Linked DNA regions of Arabidopsis thaliana. The protein of the gene in region 1 interacts with the protein of each later gene in a pairwise test. Each region holds a gene or a part of one and is shown on either strand. Other genes may lie near its edges. The genes, in order: AtMYB103, AG and AT3G62260.

What was found.
Region 2: the proteins of AtMYB103 (region 1) and AG interact in a two-hybrid assay, tested with the Arabidopsis thaliana proteins (one large-scale study listed by BioGRID).
Region 3: the proteins of AtMYB103 (region 1) and AT3G62260 interact in a two-hybrid assay, tested with the Arabidopsis thaliana proteins (one large-scale study listed by BioGRID).

The regions. Positions count from the first base shown.
Region 1 is NC_003070.9:23,718,059-23,723,752, reverse strand, and holds AtMYB103 (myb domain protein 103), read left to right. Parts: upstream 1-1,978; 5' UTR 1,979-2,127; coding exon 2,128-2,260; intron 2,261-2,388; coding exon 2,389-2,518; intron 2,519-2,935; coding exon 2,936-3,785; 3' UTR 3,786-3,970; downstream 3,971-5,694. Other genes in the region: DAL1 (E3 Ubiquitin ligase family protein), read right to left, coding at 4,667-4,769, 4,845-4,953, 5,025-5,068, 5,188-5,298, 5,390-5,502.
Region 2 is NC_003075.7:10,380,033-10,389,700, forward strand, and holds AG (K-box region and MADS-box transcription factor family protein), read left to right. Parts: upstream 1-2,823; 5' UTR 2,824-3,648; intron 3,649-3,879; 5' UTR 3,880-3,884; coding exon of another isoform or gene 3,885-4,008; coding exon 4,009-4,114; intron 4,115-6,949; coding exon 6,950-7,039; intron 7,040-7,113; coding exon of another isoform or gene 7,114-7,121; coding exon 7,122-7,195; intron 7,196-7,297; coding exon 7,298-7,359; intron 7,360-7,446; coding exon 7,447-7,546; intron 7,547-7,632; coding exon 7,633-7,674; intron 7,675-7,758; coding exon 7,759-7,800; coding exon of another isoform or gene 7,801-7,833; exon of another isoform or gene 7,834-7,930; coding exon 7,931-8,127; intron 8,128-8,236; coding exon 8,237-8,240; 3' UTR 8,241-8,507; downstream 8,508-9,668. Other genes in the region: AT4G18970 (GDSL-like Lipase/Acylhydrolase superfamily protein), read right to left, coding at 8,843-8,990, 9,277-9,499, 9,586-9,668. UniProt on the Arabidopsis thaliana protein: Probable transcription factor involved in the control of organ identity during the early development of flowers. Is required for normal development of stamens and carpels in the wild-type flower.
Region 3 is NC_003074.8:23,037,247-23,043,502, reverse strand, and holds AT3G62260 (Protein phosphatase 2C family protein), read left to right. Parts: upstream 1-2,932; 5' UTR 2,933-3,111; coding exon 3,112-3,279; exon of another isoform or gene 3,280-3,657; coding exon 3,658-3,846; intron 3,847-3,919; coding exon 3,920-4,155; intron 4,156-4,425; coding exon 4,426-4,987; 3' UTR 4,988-5,213; downstream 5,214-6,256. Other genes in the region: AT3G62270 (HCO3- transporter family), read left to right, coding at 1-279, 353-623, 709-975; UBQ5 (ubiquitin 5), read right to left, coding at 5,892-6,256.

The DNA.
Region 1 (5,694 bases):
AAAAAAGGTTAAGATCCAAGATTAAAAGCTTTAACATCTTAACCATTGGGGATGCTCTAAAGGACCATGCATCCAGTATCTTATGTGTTGGAACAGGTGTATCCGTATATGTATGTAACTATGTATTATGTATCGTAATTTGTACGTAAGCTTGGTGCCCTGGTCTACAGTTCCCTAGTTAAGATTCTATTTTGACAACAAAATTGATGATTCCAATCATCCATATTTGTTATAGGGAGAAATTGAGCATGCTATATACGGTGATATATATGATATTTATTTAATATATTGAATAACAAACACAGAACTAGTGTTATAGGTGCAGGTATGTAAATATAATGTGATAAACATTTTTTATATAGATTGGAAAGAATACGAGATTGTTGTTGCTCTGTTAGAACGAACAAACAGAACTAGTGTTATAGGTGCAGGTAAGGTAAATATAATGTGATAAACATTTTTTATATAGATTGGAACAAATAAACATTTTTCTGTTAGAACGAACAAAGGCCTGTCAAAAAGAACAAACCTGATGTGACATATTACATATATGATTATAATTGATTATTGTATATATAGTATTGCATGACTATCTTTACAAGATTTCAATACGAAAATAAATTAAAAGGAGAAAATTTATAAACGAAGCGATTTCATTCTCGGTAAGGTTTTCCGATATGTCTCCTAACTAAATCAAAGCCTTGTAATTGAAACTTGTAATGATTGTTATTCTATATATCTTTGAAGAAAGCTTCGGTATTGGACGTACTTAATATAATTGGATTTTATTTAAATTACAAAAATCACTGTATAATTCGGCTACATGACTTAATCAATTATTTCACGTTGAAAACAATACTATATCAACTTCAAATACACTCCTTGTGTATGGATTCCACAAGTTCTTTTCTATCTATAGAAATATAGAATCCACAAGTTCTATCTACTTTTATTAGAATTTTTTATTGTTCGTTGTTGTTAACATAATTATAAGCAATAAATTCAAAAAAAAAAAAATCTAAAAGACACAAAATTTCCATCTTTGATAGGGCTTCGGAATCATTAATTACTTTTTACAAACAAAAAAGAAGAAGATAGGGCTTCGGAAATTATTAGAAAGATGGAAGGATATTGTATTAAATTTGGCTTCATATTTTCCTTTGGTTTGCGGCCATCAAGTACTAGTACTACTCAGTACCCACAGGCCACAGGAAAAAAAGTAGTACTGCTTTATTAAGTGTGTTACGATAAATGGAAAGCGTTTTAGTATGTGATTACAAATTGTTGTATGTGATCATTAATTAGTTATTGGTCCGACTTCTAAGTTTAAATATTTTCAGAATTCAGTTAGTTTAATTATACATGTTAGACGAAATGACTCTTTTTGAGCCAATATATAATGTATCTGAATTTTTCATTTTGAAAAATCTTTTTATAAAATAATAGGTCAACCTCGAATTATTATAATAAAATAAATAATTTGCGTTACTATGAAAATTAATTTACTGAATACAGTATATAGAGAGAGATAGAAATAGAGGAAAACAGTGGATAATACATGATTAGTTGATACTCATGTGCAGCGAGTCTATATATATTATATACTCATGATTAGTTGATACATATGTGACGATTAGTTCTACGAATCAATCTCTAGTTTTCGTCTTAAAATCATTTGGTTTTATAGAATATAAGAAACAAAGAAAACAGGAACTTTCGCGGGAGACAGAAGGGTACGTGAAGAGAAAAACACATAAAAGTGATAAGGGCTTAACGTAATAATACTACAACAAAACCTCTCTACGTACAACGAGTAATAACACATGAAAATAGAAAGTCGATGAGACATCGTTTTAAGGTTAGATCGATGAAGAAATATCTCAGGCCCCACCCCTGGGACCCGACCCGACCCGACCCGACCCGACCTTTGTCTCCTCTCCTTTTAAAAACTCTCCATTGCTTCTTTGTCTTCTCTCTTCTATAACATAACTCAAGAAATTAAAGAAGATAGATAGAGAGAGAGAGAGAGAGTAAAAACCTAAAGGGTGATATACTTATATAAAAATTAATTTAAGATTGTGATTAAGTGGTTCACTATATTTAAGTTACTTTGAGGAGCTACTAATCATGGGTCATCACTCATGCTGCAACCAGCAAAAGGTGAAGAGAGGGCTTTGGTCACCGGAAGAAGATGAGAAGCTTATTAGATATATCACAACTCATGGCTATGGATGTTGGAGTGAAGTCCCTGAAAAAGCAGGTGATCTTACTTGTATATTAGTTTTCAAGTAACATATTTTTTTCTCTAACCAATTATAACGATCTTGCGCTAATTAACATATATAGTTAATGTAACTAATTTTAAAATGCATGTTTGATCAAATTTAGGGCTTCAAAGATGTGGAAAAAGTTGTAGATTGCGATGGATAAACTATCTTCGACCTGATATCAGGAGAGGAAGGTTCTCTCCAGAAGAAGAGAAATTGATCATAAGCCTTCATGGAGTTGTGGGAAACAGGTCTCCATTTTTACTAACTCGACTTAAATTTTTATATATTATCAATTCAAGATAGTGTATTATTATAGACCGCTACAGGAAGTCTTATAAGATTTTCAATACTGATACCATTTTCAATAATAAGTTTGTTGGGTTGGGATACATACATAGTACATTTTATACTTATATTCAGTTTATCATGTTATATTTTAAATTTAAACAATTATATGTTTAGTTTGGCCACGGTTTGAAGCAACGACTAGCCTACTGTCGATGACCAAAGAATCTTTAACGTGTAGTTTCATTCATCTAGCTCGTTTACTTTTGTCTACTTGGTCGAGCTATTAAGTAGTACACTTTAAGTTACTTCATTGAACATTCTCAAAATGTGATACATACATATTTTCTTATTAAACTTATGTTTTTTGTTTTTTTCAGGTGGGCTCATATAGCTAGTCATTTACCGGGAAGAACAGATAACGAGATTAAAAACTATTGGAATTCATGGATTAAGAAAAAGATACGAAAACCGCACCATCATTACAGTCGTCATCAACCGTCAGTAACTACTGTGACATTGAATGCGGACACTACATCGATTGCCACTACCATCGAGGCCTCTACCACCACAACATCGACTATCGATAACTTACATTTTGACGGTTTCACTGATTCTCCTAACCAATTAAATTTCACCAATGATCAAGAAACTAATATAAAGATTCAAGAAACTTTTTTCTCCCATAAACCTCCTCTCTTCATGGTAGACACAACACTTCCTATCCTAGAAGGAATGTTCTCTGAAAACATCATCACAAACAATAACAAGAACAATGATCATGATGACACGCAAAGAGGAGGAAGAGAAAATGTTTGTGAACAAGCATTTCTAACAACTAACACGGAAGAATGGGATATGAATCTTCGTCAGCAAGAGCCGTTTCAAGTTCCTACACTGGCGTCACATGTGTTCAACAACTCTTCCAATTCAAATATTGACACGGTTATAAGTTATAATCTACCGGCGCTAATAGAGGGAAATGTCGATAACATCGTCCATAATGAAAACAGCAATGTCCAAGATGGAGAAATGGCGTCCACATTCGAATGTTTAAAGAGGCAAGAACTAAGCTATGATCAATGGGACGATTCACAACAATGCTCTAACTTTTTCTTTTGGGACAACCTTAATATAAACGTGGAAGGTTCATCTCTTGTTGGAAACCAAGACCCATCAATGAATTTGGGATCATCTGCCTTATCTTCTTCTTTCCCTTCTTCGTTTTAAATTAATGTTTAAATCACAGCAAATAAACTCCGCTAATTTGTTTATAAGTTTGTTTATTCACCTTTTTTCTCTTAGAGTTTGTAACGGGATTTTCACTTTATTATGTAATGAGTGTTCTAAATTGTTGATAAAGAGATGGTGTGAATGTATGTATATAAAACTCAAGGTCTTGTCCTTAATTTGATGTATGAAAAGGACAAAAAAACACTGCTTCCATGTTGCAAGGCAATACGGTAACGTAGTGCATTCACTAAGTTCGTTAACGTTGTCGTATCGTAACACAAACGTAGAGATTTGGCTAGCTACCCACGTACAGGCCATGGCAAAACTATTTTGAAAATTACTATAGCATTTTGGTTTGTAGAAAAGAGCATAAAGATATGATTAATCTAGTTGCAAAATGAGGTAGTGAATGAACAATACTTGGGAATAACAAAGTATTGTAATTAATCCACTTATATTCTTAATGATACAATCAAAGTATATCTGCAACAAAGTCAAAATTTTCAGTTTTCAAGGGAATAACAAAGTCAAATTAAGGATTTCAAGATACTATATGCATGTTTTAGACTCCTTTAAAATAGGTAGGATTATCTTTGTAGCGCGCTTTTGGTTTAGTGAATCTGAAGATCAAAATGTTGATATCTATTCGCTGAATCGAGCAAACACCTCATGGCATTGGCAACAACACGAATAAGTAAACACGAATGTACTGTTTTGCAAATCGAGTAAACACCTTATGTTTCTATATAATTCAAAATGTTTTGTTGTCGAAATCAAACCAAAGGGAATATCGAACGCTAAACTGTGTAATGTTTTGATTTTGCGGTATTTACAGACAAGACTCAAGTAGAGAATGTTTCTGAGGCCTGAGTTGTTGTTCAGTGACGATATGTCTTAACCGCCAGATCTATTCGTCTCCGACAAAGTGGACAGCTGGTCAAGTGGGAGGAGCATGCGGTGCAGCAGCACATATGACCACACCTGCGAGTACCAACCACAAGCATTTTAGCAAGTTGCAAATGCAGAATCAACCAAAAATGGCGGAAGAATGCTTACGGGACAAACACAGCGTTGTACTCCTGCTCTAGGCATATCACACAGAGATCAGGAACAGCGTCTTCTTTCTTGGTAGAATCTGAAATGCTCTCACGTGTCCCGTTTGAACCTGGTCAGAAGAGATTGTAGTCAGAGCCAGTGCAACCTATATGTAGAATAAAGAGATTCACCAATGGATACCTTCACTCTCTAGCTCAGCTCTCTTTGCTGCTGCGTCAAGCACTCTGCAAAAACAGCTGACTACTTAATTTTGTGTGTACATAGTTTCGAGAGAAACAAGCCGATCTAGTACTCATGCTTGAGAACGGTTATTCACTTTTAGACAGACAAATCTGTGACATACCTTTTTTGTAACTGTCTCCGCCGTCTTCTCTCTAGAACAGAGTCAATGACATGCTTCGTAATTAGGAACACACCAAGAACAGTAAAACCCATGGAGGCATATTTGTACAACCTGTAAATTATACTCTTCTCAATCAGTTTGGCTCATTGCCGTTTTTCTACAAGAGTATAGGAGAAGAACCGAGAGAGGAGAGAGACACGACCTTGACCATTTTCCCAAATTAGAAATGAGCTGATCGAGTGATTTAGAAGAGACGTAGAAAGGGCCCCTGTCAGGTTTTTGAATCCTGAATTCTCCAATATCGTCCTTGACAGCCTGTTATACATGGCAGCAACACAAATTAGATTTAAACTCATCGGTAAGCCTCTATACATAGATCAATCCCACTTCCTACAAATATTGCTATTAAAGGAACTTTGAGAAAATTTCAAGAGGCAAATACCAGACTGATGAAGGAGTTAGTGTGCTATGTATCTCTATCAACAGTTACAACTTAAGCAAAAGAGA
Region 2 (9,668 bases), on another chromosome or scaffold:
ATGGAATGTTACAGAATATATAATTTCAAAACAGAGAGAGTATTCTTTTGTTTTCTGTGAACTGATTTTATTCTAGGTAATATAATGTATCCATTTTTTTTAATGACGAGGAAGAAAAATTAAGGAACAAAAGAATATGCATTAAATTTGATTAGGTAGTGTCATTTAAGTGATCCCTTCTCCAACACAAAATGTATGATTCGACGTCAAATTAATGTTTTAAATATTTATTGCTTTTATTGATCATATATAATTTAATATTTATAATCATTATTACGTGGGAACTTATCTAGTACACATTCTATGTCTTTGTGAACTTAGTACACGAGTAACGGTTTTTCTATTAAATTAAAACCTTCAAAACAACATTTGATGAAAATTTCATAGATTTTACACCAAAATTTCGTAAGAAAAATTGTTGGAGTTCGTATTGTTTTCTTGTAGTAGATGACATTAAAAAAATACATTAAGATACACTAAACAAGAATTATGCATATTGTTTTTTGGTCAAAATCGAGCCTTTACCAAATTGATCGATACATTTTTTCTGATGATACGTTTAGACTAGTTGGATAAAATATTAATCTGTCCTCAAAACCAATTTGCAGTGGATCAATCCATATATCTTCTATATTATTAGGATCTTTGTCTAACTTCCGATGTGTGATATTGTTATTCCTAAGATAAAACACCATTGAAAAACAGTATTTTAAATCGGGTAAATAATTCAGCGAGTCACATATTTTTGTTTTAATAAAAACTCAAATCAAAAGTGATCAAAATATGGTAGAAAGCAACCTTCGATTGTGGTCCATCATGTAAGATACGAGAAGATTTTATGGTTTTTAAAACCCACTTCGACCATGAAAGCTTGACCCAAAGCAATTGAGTTGTTTCTTTTATAAATGACCTAATCAATTTCCATACATACAAGCATACATGTGACGTAAAGGAAATCTAATTATGTACTAATTTGTAAATTTTACTAGTATTCAATTCAGTAATTCTTACTAAACTTACTTTAACTCTTGCTAATTAAATATACTACTAGAGAAGGTAAATTACATGCAGTTAAGCTATACTATTTTTTCTAATTGCAAGAAAGAAAGAAAAAGTACAAAAGAAAAGAAAGCACATTGCAAGTGGATGTATATATAGTTATAGGGAAATAAATATGAATATGGACTGTATATACATATAGGTTTCTCTTATCTCTATCAAATTACCTTAAATGGGTTCATAAAGATGGAGATCAAAGACTACACATCACATGCTACTCTCCCTCTTCTTTTGGCATAACCTTACTCCATTTATACATTGTGCTCCTCAATTATTCAACATTTTTTAAAAATAACTTATTTAACAAAATGTTAGAAAATATCTACCCAATTTTTTTCTTCCACATACGAGCTACAAAGATCTTTATCAAATAAAACAAGAAAGATTATTAATCCATATTTTGGGTTAAATTTTAATCCATTTAGCCAATTAGGAGAACTATTTTAACAGTTAGATACTTTTCAACAAAATTTATTAAGTAGTCACCTATGTATATTCATATAGTAGTTTCACAAACAATATGGAGAGCTGTGATCTTGAAGAGGGCGACAAAAGTCAAAAAGAAAATGTAAAAAAAGAGAGAGAGATTAAAGTAGTTGGAGAAGAGAGAAAAGTCTGGTTACCTTCTAATTGAGTCAGAAGCATTACACTTAAATAACTTTCCAAATTAAGCCCTACGTCTTGTCCAGCCCCTTAAAAGTACGCTTCATCTCCCTATTTCCCCTATAAACCCTAAAACCCTATTTATCTTATTAATTTATCATTTTTTTTATATGTCAATATCACAACAAGTAAACATCATCAACTTCAAATCTCACTAACATAAATAGTATGCTAATTTTCTTCACTATCTGAGTAATTTTCTCCTTCTTTTTACATCATTCGATTCTATATTTGCCACACCATTAAATAGATAAGTATATTGGTTCTTACTACTAATAATCAGTTTAGCCATATATCTAATTACACAGTTTTCTTTTATATGTTACTTTATATTTGTACACCATCAGTTACTATATACGGAATAAATTACACCTCATCATGTAATTACAATATTATCATAAATTTTTTGAAATTCTATTCTTTAATATTTTCAGTATCCAGAATCCATTTTCTTATATTTATTCTGGCAAAATAATGTAAAATGGTATCAAATATACAACACCATATATTTGTTTATAAATAACTTCCTTAATTAGTGAAACAAATTTTCCTGCAGAATGTCACTTAAATCTTTAAAACAATTCACAAAAGAAAAGGGAATAGAGCTGAAATTTTTTCCTCTTTAAAAAGATCAAGATTTAGTAAAAACTAGAAACAAAGAAGAAGATCGATATTTGTTGTAACAAAAAAATGTACTGATCAGATTTACCCAAAGATTTTAGTGCCTCAAAAACTTTCACATGAAAAGCAAAGACAAGTAATGGTAAGTAGAGTCTGCATCTCATGAGTGATTGCCCAACTTGAACCCTCTTTTCATTTAGACCTTTGTGAAAGACCACACAAGAACTACCCACCAATAACTCTCTCTTTTTTTCTTCATTTCCAAAAACTATTTATTCATTTCTACAATTTCTCAATTTGGGGGTGTCCTTAATAAGTATTATATTTATGAAAAGTCCGGATGTATGGTGGGTGTTATTTATGGTAATTAACACTATTTATTAATAATATTTTTCATGTGATTTCAAAAGCTGATGTACTCATGCTTTGTGAACCTTTAGATTGCTCTATGTCAATCTTTTATTTTAACCTATCATATGTCTAAATGTACTGAAAAGAAACACCAGTTTAATTAATTATACTTCCCTCATATATAACTATCAACCAAGTACAAAACTTTTGTCAATTCTCAAAATCAACTTTCACCACATAATTATCTAACATGTGTATGTTCCAAAACCAGTTTAAATAGAATTACTTTTCAGAAAATACATGTATATTAACTCTATCTAATAAAGAAGAAACACATACTTATCTCATAGATTCCATTCATAAAACTATGCTTTAGTGAGTAAGAAAACCAGTAATCAAACACAAATTGACAAGACACTATATGGATGTAAAAAGTGGGGAAAAATGGTGATAAATAGTAGAGAAAATTAAAAAGAAAAAAAATATTCCTTTATAAATGTATATACCCATCTCTTCACCAGCACAACCTTACCTTCCATTTTCTGCAACTTCTCCAAATCTCATACTTTCCAGAAAATCATTTTCCCAAGAAAAATAAAACTTTCCCCTTTGTTCTTCTCCCCCCAACAGGTCAGGCTAGTATTTTGTTGTTCCCCAATCCTTTCAAACATTATCTTCTTCATAATATTACTTTGCTTCACTTCTTTTGGTCCTTAAACCAAATTTTTGTTCTTCTTTAGTTTCCTTTTTTCCCGTTTTGATTTGATTCTTTTTATGTTATTTAGAGAGAAACAAGATTCACAAATTCTCTGATCTTCTTTAACTCTTTAAAACTTTTCTTTTTCACACTCTAGATTTAAATTATCCCTATGGTTACAAAACAATTTTGTTCTTAGTTTATAACTTGTGTATTACCATCCTTTCTTGATTAACTCTTGTTAGGAGAATATGAATGTAAGATCAATAAAGTTCTTCAACTTTATAATTCCTTCTATAAGATGTGTGTCGGCAACAGAATTAAATTAAATCTTTATAGTTTAACTTTAATCTCAACCATAATTCAAAAGAATAGAAAACATGAAGAATCTTGAGTCTTTTCAAGAAAATCTTGATTGGTTTTTTGTTGGATTCTTGTAATTCTGTACTAATCAAATTTTGCCCTAAACGTTTTTGGCTTTGGAGCAGCAATCACGGCGTACCAATCGGAGCTAGGAGGAGATTCCTCTCCCTTGAGGAAATCTGGGAGAGGAAAGATCGAAATCAAACGGATCGAGAACACAACGAATCGTCAAGTCACTTTTTGCAAACGTAGAAATGGTTTGCTCAAGAAAGCTTACGAGCTCTCTGTTCTTTGTGATGCTGAAGTCGCACTCATCGTCTTCTCTAGCCGTGGTCGTCTCTATGAGTACTCTAACAACAGGTTTCTTCTTCTTCTCGTGCTCTGTTCTTACTTTATTAATAATTAAATTATTTTTAAAGTCCGATTTAGGGTTTTATGTTTATGTTAAAGCATAAATCTTTTACGAGGGTTTTCGATCTTCTAAGCTAGATTTGATTCTCTTCTTCTTGAATGCTCTTATGGGTAGGATTATTTTTCACTTTTTTCCTTCATATTCCACACACATATATATATAAACACACTAACATTAGTGGGAATATTTGTTTGATATGTTTATTTTATTTACTTCGGGGGTTTTTGTAACAATTTTGTAGATCTAATTTCTTGTTCTTCATGTGTATATTAATTTTCCCTTAAGACTTAAATAAAAAGAGAGAATTTGTTATATATAGATATATGAAGTGAGGGAAATGGTACAAAGTTAAAGGAGATCTGAGTGAGAGTTAGATAATAAATGAAAAGAAATAAGAAACCATCAGGGTTTTTTCTAATGTGGAGTTTTAGATTCAGTTTTGTAGAACTAAGATTCACTTTGTTGGGTGTTCTTTCTTCACTCATTTCTGTTATTATAATAATAATAAAATCTTATATCTTTCTATTTTCCTTACTAACAAGTACTTGAAGATTTAGATATATTTATAGATCTGGTGTTGTAATAGGTAAAAACTTGATTTTTATGACTATAAAAGTAAGTTTTGGGAAACAAATTGGGGAGAGAGTAAGGAAGGACTATGAGGTCATATCTTCTGTTTTGTGATCATCCATCCTCCATTGTTGTTAATGTCTGTGTCTCTCTTTTTCTTCTCTTCTTTCTCTTACTTTCCTTTCTTATCTCTAGCTCTCTTTCTCTCTCATGAATTATATCATATCATATATTTGATACAAACACATGTGATGGTAAGTGAGAGTGAATAAGGTGAAACTAGCTAGATTTTTGAGTTTTCATGAAATTTTAACTTATATGAGTGATAGAAAATAATGGAACTTATACGTACATGTAGGACAATTTAGATGGTTATCTAAGTTTTTGTTTTTGTTTTCTCTTGAGAATGTTAAATGTTAGTGTTATTTTTGTAGTTTTGGAAAATTATATATGAGCTAAGATTAGTTTAGAAGTGGTCAAAAGAAACATAGATTTGAAATTTCAACTGAATTTTCAAGATTTCAAATAGTCAATGAAACAAGGAGGTAATTAAGACAAATTAGCTTATGGGGACTCTTTTTTGTTATTCCTTAAAATTACTCTTTTTAAAATTAAAAATAACTAATCTCATTTCGAACTACATTACTCAAACTAGTAATCTCTAATTCGACACGCAATTTCCAAATACTTATTAGTAGAGAGTCCCACGTGATTACTTTCTTCTCCACCAAAACATAAAACATGTCAAGATTAAATGGTGTTTGAAAATTAAAAGATCAATTTTCTTAATCGTTTACAGTTGTCAACTCTCATGTCCTGAAATATATAATTCTCATGTCCAAAACAAGAAAAGCTAACAACGACTTCAAATTAAATCAGTCAATCAAAATTAGTCTTCATTTACCTACTAATTTCTTTTTATATATCCGATGGGTACTCTACGAAATCAGAGTTTCGTTTCTTTATTTATTTTCTTTTATAAGATTTTTGAGGTTTTTTCAGAGGTTGGAATTGAGCGCAAGATTAGGTTTTGGGTCTGTAAGATTTGTTGTCTTTGTTAAAGAATCTTTGATCACGTCATCACTCAGATATTATTTCTTTTTATTTTTCACTTGTATTTTTACTAATTTATTATAAAGTTTTGTTAGTTTCAGTTCTTGACTTCTGACAAGAAGGTTTTATGTCATAATGAATTAATTTGTAACCTATTTATAAATTCAAAAATGTCATCATATTACTACTTTTGACCATTTAATATTAGATTTCTCATTTGGTCAATACCCAATGTTCATATTACATATATAGAGACAAAAATTATAAGGATACTAAATTGTTCATATTTCTTGGAAGTAAAAAGATTAATGATCACTGAATAAATAGATTTGGCATAGAAGTATAGCATTGGAATTGCTTCAACATCTTTGGTGTAGATAGATTTATGCAATTTCTCTTTCTTTTTGAAGTATCTTTTTTTTTTCTAGAGAGAGAATAATGTTAGGGATTTTTATCATTTTCTCTCTCATTATGGGTACTGAGAGGAAAGTGAGATTTTTAGTACGGATCCAATAGTTTAAGAGTTTGGTCTGCCTTCTACGATCCAAAAAAATCTACGGTCATGATCTCTCCATCGAGAAGGTTGAGAGTTCAGACATCAAAGTCTATAATATGTCATTGTAATACGTATTTGTGTATATATATCTATGTACAAGTACATATACAGGAAACTCAAGAAAAAAGAATAAATGGTAAATTTAATTATATTCCAAATAAGGAAAGTATGGAACGTTGTGATGTTACTCGGACAAGTCATTTAGTTACATCCATCACGTTTAAATTTAATCCAATGGTTACAATTTTAATACTATCAAATGTCTATTGGATTTATACCCAATGTGTTAATGGGTTGTTGACACATGTCACATGTCTGAAACCCTAGACATGTTCAGACCAATCATGTCACTCTAATTTTGCCAGCATGGCAGTTGGCAGCCAATCACTAGCTCGATAAATTTAAGGTTTCAGAGGAATTTTAATTTATTTAGGGTTCATATTGTTTCATAAAATGATTCTTTATTTGTTACAACTTTAAGGAAATATTTTATTAACTATTTAATTGTTCCCTTTTCTTATATTACTTTTGTTTTTTCTTCACATCATGTGTCACATTAAGTTGCATTTCTTCTGACTCAAAAGAACCGATGTTTGCTTTTAAGGTTTCGTATTAGAATCACTTAACTGTGCAAGTGGTCGATTTGACCCTATCAATTTTATTTTTTATTACTTATCAAAATGCAGATTTAAGCGTAGATTAAGTTTAGAAAATAGGTAGTTAATAGGTCTAATTAACTTATTAATTCCTTTAAAAAAATTATTGCAGTGTAAAAGGGACTATTGAGAGGTACAAGAAGGCAATATCGGACAATTCTAACACCGGATCGGTGGCAGAAATTAATGCACAGGTAAGTGGTAACTTAATATTACACGAATGATTTTAATTAATATATGATGACATGACAACATTGTTCATTCTTTTACTCTTTTTTTTTTTGTTGTTGTTGTAGTATTATCAACAAGAATCAGCCAAATTGCGTCAACAAATAATCAGCATACAAAACTCCAACAGGTTAATTATCTAACTGACTTGAAATATTTGATTACTTGGTTGTTATTAACTATTTGATATATTAACATATGTTGATAAATCAATTAGGCAATTGATGGGTGAGACGATAGGGTCAATGTCTCCCAAAGAGCTCAGGAACTTGGAAGGCAGATTAGAGAGAAGTATTACCCGAATCCGATCCAAGAAGGTAATTCTATTTTTTTTATAAATGCTTCAATATAATATCAAATTAAATCTATATGCCTTGTTGCTAATTTTTGTTTAATTTTACAGAATGAGCTCTTATTTTCTGAAATCGACTACATGCAGAAAAGAGTAAGAAATAAATCTTAACTTAATTTCTATTCTTAATATGTTCTTATAATAATTTTGCTCATTTGCATTGCACCGATTAAGCAGGAAGTTGATTTGCATAACGATAACCAGATTCTTCGTGCAAAGGTAAAAGTACACATTATATATCAATTTCTATAATTTTCCCTATTGTTTCAATAAATATTATATGAAAACGATTAAAATGGTGAAAGTACTTGTAGATAAATAGTTTATGACATATATTTGTGTAATGTAGATAGCTGAAAATGAGAGGAACAATCCGAGTATAAGTCTAATGCCAGGAGGATCTAACTACGAGCAGCTTATGCCACCACCTCAAACGCAATCTCAACCGTTTGATTCACGGAATTATTTCCAAGTCGCGGCATTGCAACCTAACAATCACCATTACTCATCCGCGGGTCGCCAAGACCAAACCGCTCTCCAGTTAGTGTAAGGACACAAAATCTTGCTCCGATCAATCATTCTAGTCTTATATTATTAATCGGTCCATTTTGTAAAACTTGACAGCATGGATTTGGTCTTTTATGCTGTTTTGTAGGTAATATAGGCTGAAGGAAATGGCCGGGAGTGAATAAAAACCAGAATTGGGTTGAGCAAGCAATATAAAGCTAATGCATGTTATATATATATTTATCCCATGAATGTTGTATCAGTGAATTTTATGCTTATGTTGATGTGAAATTAATATCTTAAAGACATGTCATTAATGTGCTTAATTTGCTTCAAAACATCTATGTGTATAAGTGTACTATTAGTTCAATTGTTGTATTTAATTACCAATTCCTGCTCTATTAATGATTTTATTATAGAAAAGTCTCAATATGATAATGATATATATTCATGTGCTGAGTTCCATCCTCCTCCTCCTTCTCCCCATGTGGTACAGTTGCAAAATGTCGAAACATTCGTTCATTTTGTAGCTGCCTACCAGGAATACATTCACCACCCGGTCTCAATATCTCGCGTCTTGCTCGGTGAAAACACATACAAGAGTATTAACCATATTTTCTTTAAATGCACATACAATAGCTTATCTCTGCCTAGCTTCATTTCGTAAACCAAGAGCAAACATTATCGGATGGCTCCATACCTGTTCTCAATAAATCATGGTCATAATCAAGCTCATTTTCCTAGCCTCCGGTTACTAGATTTTGTATGGAACGCAACATCCATTTCCATCCAGGCCCGGTCCAACAATTTTTTTTGCAAGGGACAAGATATAGTTGTTATTGTTCAAGAACCTGACTCTTATGCACAAGCTTCCTCTTATCAGAATTCGCCATTTAAACCAACTTCAGTTTCTTTTTATATCCATTTACTAGAAAAGTGTTTGAACAATTAAAAGATTGATACATAGTAATAACTAATAAGAGAATCAGAGATCCAAATGAATTTAGTCATCTATAAGAAAGCAGAAATTTCATGTCATTATATAGAACCATGATACATAAACTCAACAAAACAAACAATTCTTCTGCAGCAAAAAGAAACAATCATCAAACACTTAAATAAGAAAAAGATTAAATCTGTCTCCCTCTCTTTTTCACTCTGTGTTTGCTTGGAGGAAATTTCATGAACTAGAGCCGAGCAAGCTGCTGGATATCATAAGGATGAGCATCAGAAGCAGATTCTCTCTGAAAAGATCGACTACCGATGACAACATTCGCAGCTTCTCCTGGATGAAACGCGTCCCAGAACACATACTCGTCCCTGTTAAGACATGGAGCTTGACCCGGAAGACAAGTTATCTGTCCATTGTTCCTCCCAACTCCACAACATCCCGCGTTTGTCACCCTAAACCCTAAACCATTAACAAGACGTTGATGAAACCATCAACAAAGTTTTCAGGCAACATTTGATAGAGTTTGTTTAAGAGGTGACTCTTACCATAGCGAGAAGGATTAGCTACCATGTCTTGGAAGATACCATAAGCATTAATGTAAGTGAACTTGGCCCCTGGTGTGTTTTGG
Region 3 (6,256 bases), on another chromosome or scaffold:
ATTCACAGGAAATCTCGATGCTCCAGTTGATGAGACTCTGTTTGATATCGAGAAAGAGATTGATGATTTATTGCCAATTGAAGTCAAAGAACAGAGAGTAAGCAACTTGCTTCAAGCAGTAATGGTTGGAGGGTGTGTTGCAGCTATGCCTCTCCTTAAAATGATCCCTACATCAGTCCTTTGGGGCTACTTTGCCTTCATGGCAATCGAAAGCTTACCCGGAAACCAATTCTGGGAAAGAATCTTACTTCTCTTCACAGCTCCTAGTCGTCGATTCAAGTAAAGTCTCAATCATTTTCATCTTCTTTTACTCTTTCAAGAATCATTACTCAATTACTCAACAAATTTGCAGGGTCCTTGAAGATAACCACGCGACATTCGTGGAAACCGTTCCATTCAAAACGATCGCAATGTTCACAATTTTCCAAACAACTTATCTCTTAACTTGCTTTGGTCTCACGTGGATACCAATCGCTGGAGTTATGTTCCCTCTACTGATCATGTTTCTGATACCCGTAAGGCAATATATCCTCCCAAGATTCTTCAAAAGTGCTCATCTTCAGGACTTAGACGCAGCAGAGTACGAAGAAGCACCCGCTTTACCGTTCCATCTCGCAGTACCGGTAAACGACTCCATTACTAATTCGAATCAAAATCCACTTTTTTAGCTTCTTGAAAAATCTTATTAACCGATTTTGGATTTTGCAGGAAGCTGAGATGGGATCAACTGCTTCGTATCCATGTGATTCTGAGATTCTTGATGAGTTTATTACAAGAAGCAGAGGAGAGTTTAGACACACATGTAGTCCTAAAGTTACTAGTTCGACTTCAACACCGGTTTATAATCGGAATCTCTCTCAAGTGTTTAGTCCTAGAGTGATTGATTTAAGAGGTGAGATGAGTCCAAGGCTCTCCGGGAAAGGCCAAAATAGTCCAAAGCCGAGTCCTTTAAACCCATCATCATCGTCGAAATGAGTTTACCGATGATGGAGGCTTGATAAAACCGGAGGAGATTATGTTTAAAATTAGTTAATTAATTGATGTTGTATCTTATGCATTCTTGAGTTTTTTTTTTCTTTTTACCTATGTTTAAAATTATGTTTGCATTTCTGTTCTTGATTTAGAATCATTGTAAAATCTCTCTAAATACCATGTCAAATGTCGGTAAAACATTATACTATGTAATAATAAAGCCATGAAACATCAGCTTATAATATAGACGTTCACGATAAAAGAAAGTTCGAGAGAAAAAATCTAACGGAAACATGAAAATAAAGAACAACAAGAAAAGTTAGTGGCTTTTGCCTTTTGGTTATGTGGTTGTCTTAAACTGTGTTTGTTGCGTCTCGATTTTTATTGTCGGATCAGAGATTAGATTAAGACATTCTCATTGACCATTTTTCCACGCGTAGGTACAGTAACTTAACCTGATTAAAACCATTCTAGTTTGACTAATATAATGTTTTAAAGATCCTTCGCAGAATTTAAATACAAAAAAGGGCTAAAAGTTGCACCTTTTTCTTATTAATATTATAGTCGAAATCTTAAGGCCAACTATTCCCTTAAAATCCAACAAGGAAGAAAACCTTACTGAATCCAATGGGCTTAATACTTTCAGACAGTTTAAAGATTTATGGCTTTCCTCGAAATTATGATCCATTAAATGCGTGTCTCCTCATTGATGATCATCAGCAAATCGTGTGTCATATTATATTAACCCTAATCATAATATATTAATACTATAACACCAGCAACATTATGCTGAGTCATACATATATATGCTAATAAGTACTAGTAGTTGTTAATTTTTATTGGTAAGATACCATAACACTAGTTTTATATTAGACTTTACACGAACAAGTTTCAAAATTTTAGCAACGCATTAGATCTTGAGCATCTTGGTTTCGTCTAAAGAAACATTATTTAGTTGAATGTCTTACATAGTAAGACAAATATTTTTGGGTAATATATAAAAAATGTGATAATTTTTAACTTTTAAATTAGTATTTAGGTTAAATTAGATCATACATTCTTAATATGATAACAAAGTGTATTACCGCCTTAATAGACAGTTTTTTTATAAAGAATGGTTTTGCACCTACTCTATACAAATAACATGTCTTATTATATTTTCGAAATGTTAAACTTACTCATATTGCTTAGGACAAAATTTTTAAGTAATAAATAAAACGTGTGGTAATTCTTAAATTTGGATTACTATGTCAGTTTAGATATTTTAATTAATTTTTCCAATAGTCAAATTGAGAAGGAAAAAACAACCACATAAAATAATAAATTAGGTAATGGCTTTGGATCATAGAGAGCACTTAACTTGTTGATCTACGCAATGTGTAAAGCTTGATACCACTAAACTATTATTCGTGACAAAAATTAAAAAGAAAGAAAAGACTGCTGACCTGGCATGACAGATAGTTAAACCTTGGGAGGCAAGTTCATCCTGGTGATTTTAACGGTCCAGATTCATCTAGATGCAACGCCATTGTGTGATTAAAGATCGTCACTTGCAGGTGTGTACACGGACAAACCTTTAGAGATTCTGGTCGAGAAAGTTCTGTACTTCCTAAAGTACCCCTAAACATTTAATCCTATTACAGAAATATCCCCGTTATTTCCAAAGAAAGTCCTCGGAAGTTGGTAAAAGTTTAAAAAGGAGTGGTTCAGAATCCGACGTCGTTCGAGGGTACGCGCGTCAAAGCTCGAATGACACGTGTCATAATTAGGGCTTAGTCTTAGCCGTGTGTAATCCACAAACTAAACAGAGATCATAATCTACATAAGCAACCGACTCGCCACAGATGATGGCCACGTGTCAACTGAATTTTACCGGTTACCCAGTCACCCATAATCGAGTCTTTTTCTTCTTATATATAATCAGAGAGAAAAAGCCCACGCGGCTCAGAAATTTCGTCCACGAGAGGAATAAATTCACACGCGAACTTCGATAGTTGTTAATTTTCGTTGAACACAAGTGACGAATTTGAGAGAGAAAAAAAAAGAAAATCAGAGATAAAGAATTTGAGTTTCTTGGAATTAAAGGATCGATTTTGTTGAAGTGAAATTGAAATTGATTGTGAAAAGAGAAAGAGACTGATGGTAGCAGAAGCAGAGGTTGTGTTTCAACAGAGTTTACCGGCGGTTCTGGAGATTGAGTTGTTTGACGGAGTTTCCTCCGCCGTTAAATCTCCCGTTTCTTCTCCGAAATTGGGTTTTACTCAGTCAACGGCGTCGGTTTCCGGAAGTTTAACGACTTCTCCTGTGGTAAGTCTTGTTTAAAGTTTACATTTTTATTTTCTGGGTGAGAATTTAAGAAGCTGGGTTCTGAAACGTAATTAGAAATTCGACTGAATTATTGGTTTTAGTCTATTAGGAATCATCAAATAAGATGACTTTATTGTAAATATTTTGCAAACATATCCTTGGATCTCTTAGGCTTAGAGGACCTCTAGTTCATGTGTGTTTGCGTGTCGTAGCAAATATAGATGCTTGTTGTCTATAACTTTGCCTTAATGAAGCAACTTTAAAGCTGTTGGAGAAGCCCTTTGTAGTTATTGTGTGTTGTTAACTGTCTTGTCTTCACTGCTTGTGTTTTATTTGTTGCTATACTCAATTGAGCATCCGTGTATACCTTTTATTTAGCAGGCTGATATCTTTCCAGAGGGTGATTGCGATCCTAGTGTCTTGGATTATATTCCGACCATCCGGTCTGGAAGCTTTGCTGATATTGGGCCAAAGAGAAACATGGAAGATGAACACATTCGCATAGACGATTTATCTTCTCAAGTTGGTTCCCTTTTTGAGTTGCCGAAGCCTAGTGCTTTCTATGCGGTATGTATCGTTGCTTCCTTATAATCTGATGCTCTTTTAAGTATACATTCTGACTTGACTTTCCTCTGCTTAGGTTTTTGACGGGCATGGAGGACCAGAAGCAGCAGCATACGTACGGGAAAATGCCATTAGGTTTTTCTTTGAAGATGAGCAGTTTCCACAGACATCGGAAGTGAGTAGTGTTTATGTGGAAGAAGTTGAGACTTCATTGAGAAATGCGTTTCTTCAAGCTGATCTAGCTTTGGCAGAGGATTGCAGTATCAGCGATTCTTGTGGTACCACCGCTCTGACTGCTCTTATTTGTGGAAGGTACGTGTTTCATTCAGTTTTGTTTAGTTCTCAATCTATCTTTAGAATCTTAAGAGATCTCTTGCGCATATACGAAGATGTGCACAAAGGTAAATAAATCTATTGTTAGGATCTTAAGAGAGCTCTTACATATACTAGATTGTAAGTATATAACCTGTGACATGAGCAATATTGGCTATGGTTTTATACTTTTGGTTACTCTTTCTGTTGTTGTCTTTGGGGTTTAACTGTGATTTTCTCATGGGATACTTATGTTCTTGTCTTTTGCAGACTCTTAATGGTTGCAAATGCCGGAGACTGCAGAGCGGTTCTATGCAGGAAAGGCAGAGCGATAGACATGTCTGAAGACCATAAACCGATTAATCTACTTGAGAGAAGAAGAGTGGAGGAATCCGGCGGTTTCATCACTAATGACGGTTACCTAAATGAAGTCCTAGCTGTAACCCGAGCTCTGGGCGACTGGGATTTAAAACTGCCACACGGCTCTCAATCTCCACTGATCTCGGAACCAGAAATCAAGCAGATAACTCTAACTGAAGACGATGAGTTTCTTGTGATTGGGTGCGATGGGATTTGGGATGTCTTGACGAGCCAAGAAGCGGTTAGCATTGTTAGGCGTGGCTTAAACCGGCACAACGATCCAACAAGATGTGCGCGAGAGCTAGTGATGGAGGCTCTGGGGCGGAACTCATTTGATAATTTAACTGCGGTGGTGGTATGTTTCATGACAATGGACAGAGGGGACAAGCCGGTGGTGCCATTGGAGAAGAGAAGGTGTTTTAGTCTTTCGCCTGAAGCTTTCTGTAGCTTGAGGAATCTGTTGGATGGCTGAAACTAGTGTGTTTTCTGGTGAAAACCGATGATTATATAATTGATGATGACGAATAATCTCTCCCACGGCTGCTTTTGTATTTAGAGATTTTACGCAGCTGAGAGAACTCTTTTGAGATATACTTGTGTATTAAGTGTGTTTGTTGTGTGCACAGTATGCGATTACAGTTTTGTGTACATACATACTGTTAGTTGTCTATGAATAACGAAAAAGAAAAGATTAAGTGATCGCCACTTTGTCAAGATAAAATTGCATCTTTATTTTTTTGATCAAGATAAAACTCCATTCAACACGACCATTTAAAACTAGGAATGTATCATCATTTCGAGACTAACTTTCGTTCTTCGCTTAATAAGATTTACAAATTCATGCAGCAGAAACTATTTTTGAACAACTTCAGTTTAAAGATAAATCAAACTTATTCAAAAATCATTAGCAACACGTTTAGAAACCAAAAAGACAAGGCTACTACTACGCATGAGAGCAGCCTTAAGAATCAAAGCGTAGAAACTAATCACTCATCACAAAACTAAAATCCTAGATCGAATATTATTCGAGAATTAATCACTTGACTAAAAAGAATACAAGACAAATCATAAATTCCGCTACGTTGCCATTGCAAATCATCTATAAATCTGCAAACAAATGATTTGAAATGCTCTCACAACTACGTTATAGGATGATTCAAGAAGTAGCAACCAATGAATATCAAAGTATAGAACGAACAACATAATGAATATCCATAAAATCCTAAAACCTTCCATAATTTATAATCCAGAACGAAAGATGTTCAACATAGAATCCATGATAACTCAAATTAAAGAGCTTACAAAATTCCCAAATAGAAATGCAGTTTTTAAAAGATAAGAGAGAAAGAGAAGGATCGATCTACCGCTACAACAGATCAAGCTTCAACTCCTTCTTTCTGGTAAACGTAGGTGAGTCCACACTTACCACAGTAATGGCGATCAAAATGACTCGCCATGAAAGTCCCAGCTCCACAGGTTGCGTTAGGGCACTCCTTCCTCAAACGCTGAACCTTTCCAGATCCATCGATTTTGTAAAACTGAAGAACAGCGAGCTTAACCTTCTTATGCTTGTGCTTGATCTTCTTCGGCTTGGTGTAAGTCTTCTTCTTCCTCTTCTTAGCACCACCACGGAGACGGAGGACGAGATGAAGCGTCGATTCCTTCTGGATGTTGTAGTCGGCGAGGGTACGGCCGTCTTCAAGCTGTTTCCCGGCGAAAATCAATCGCTGCTGGTCCGGTG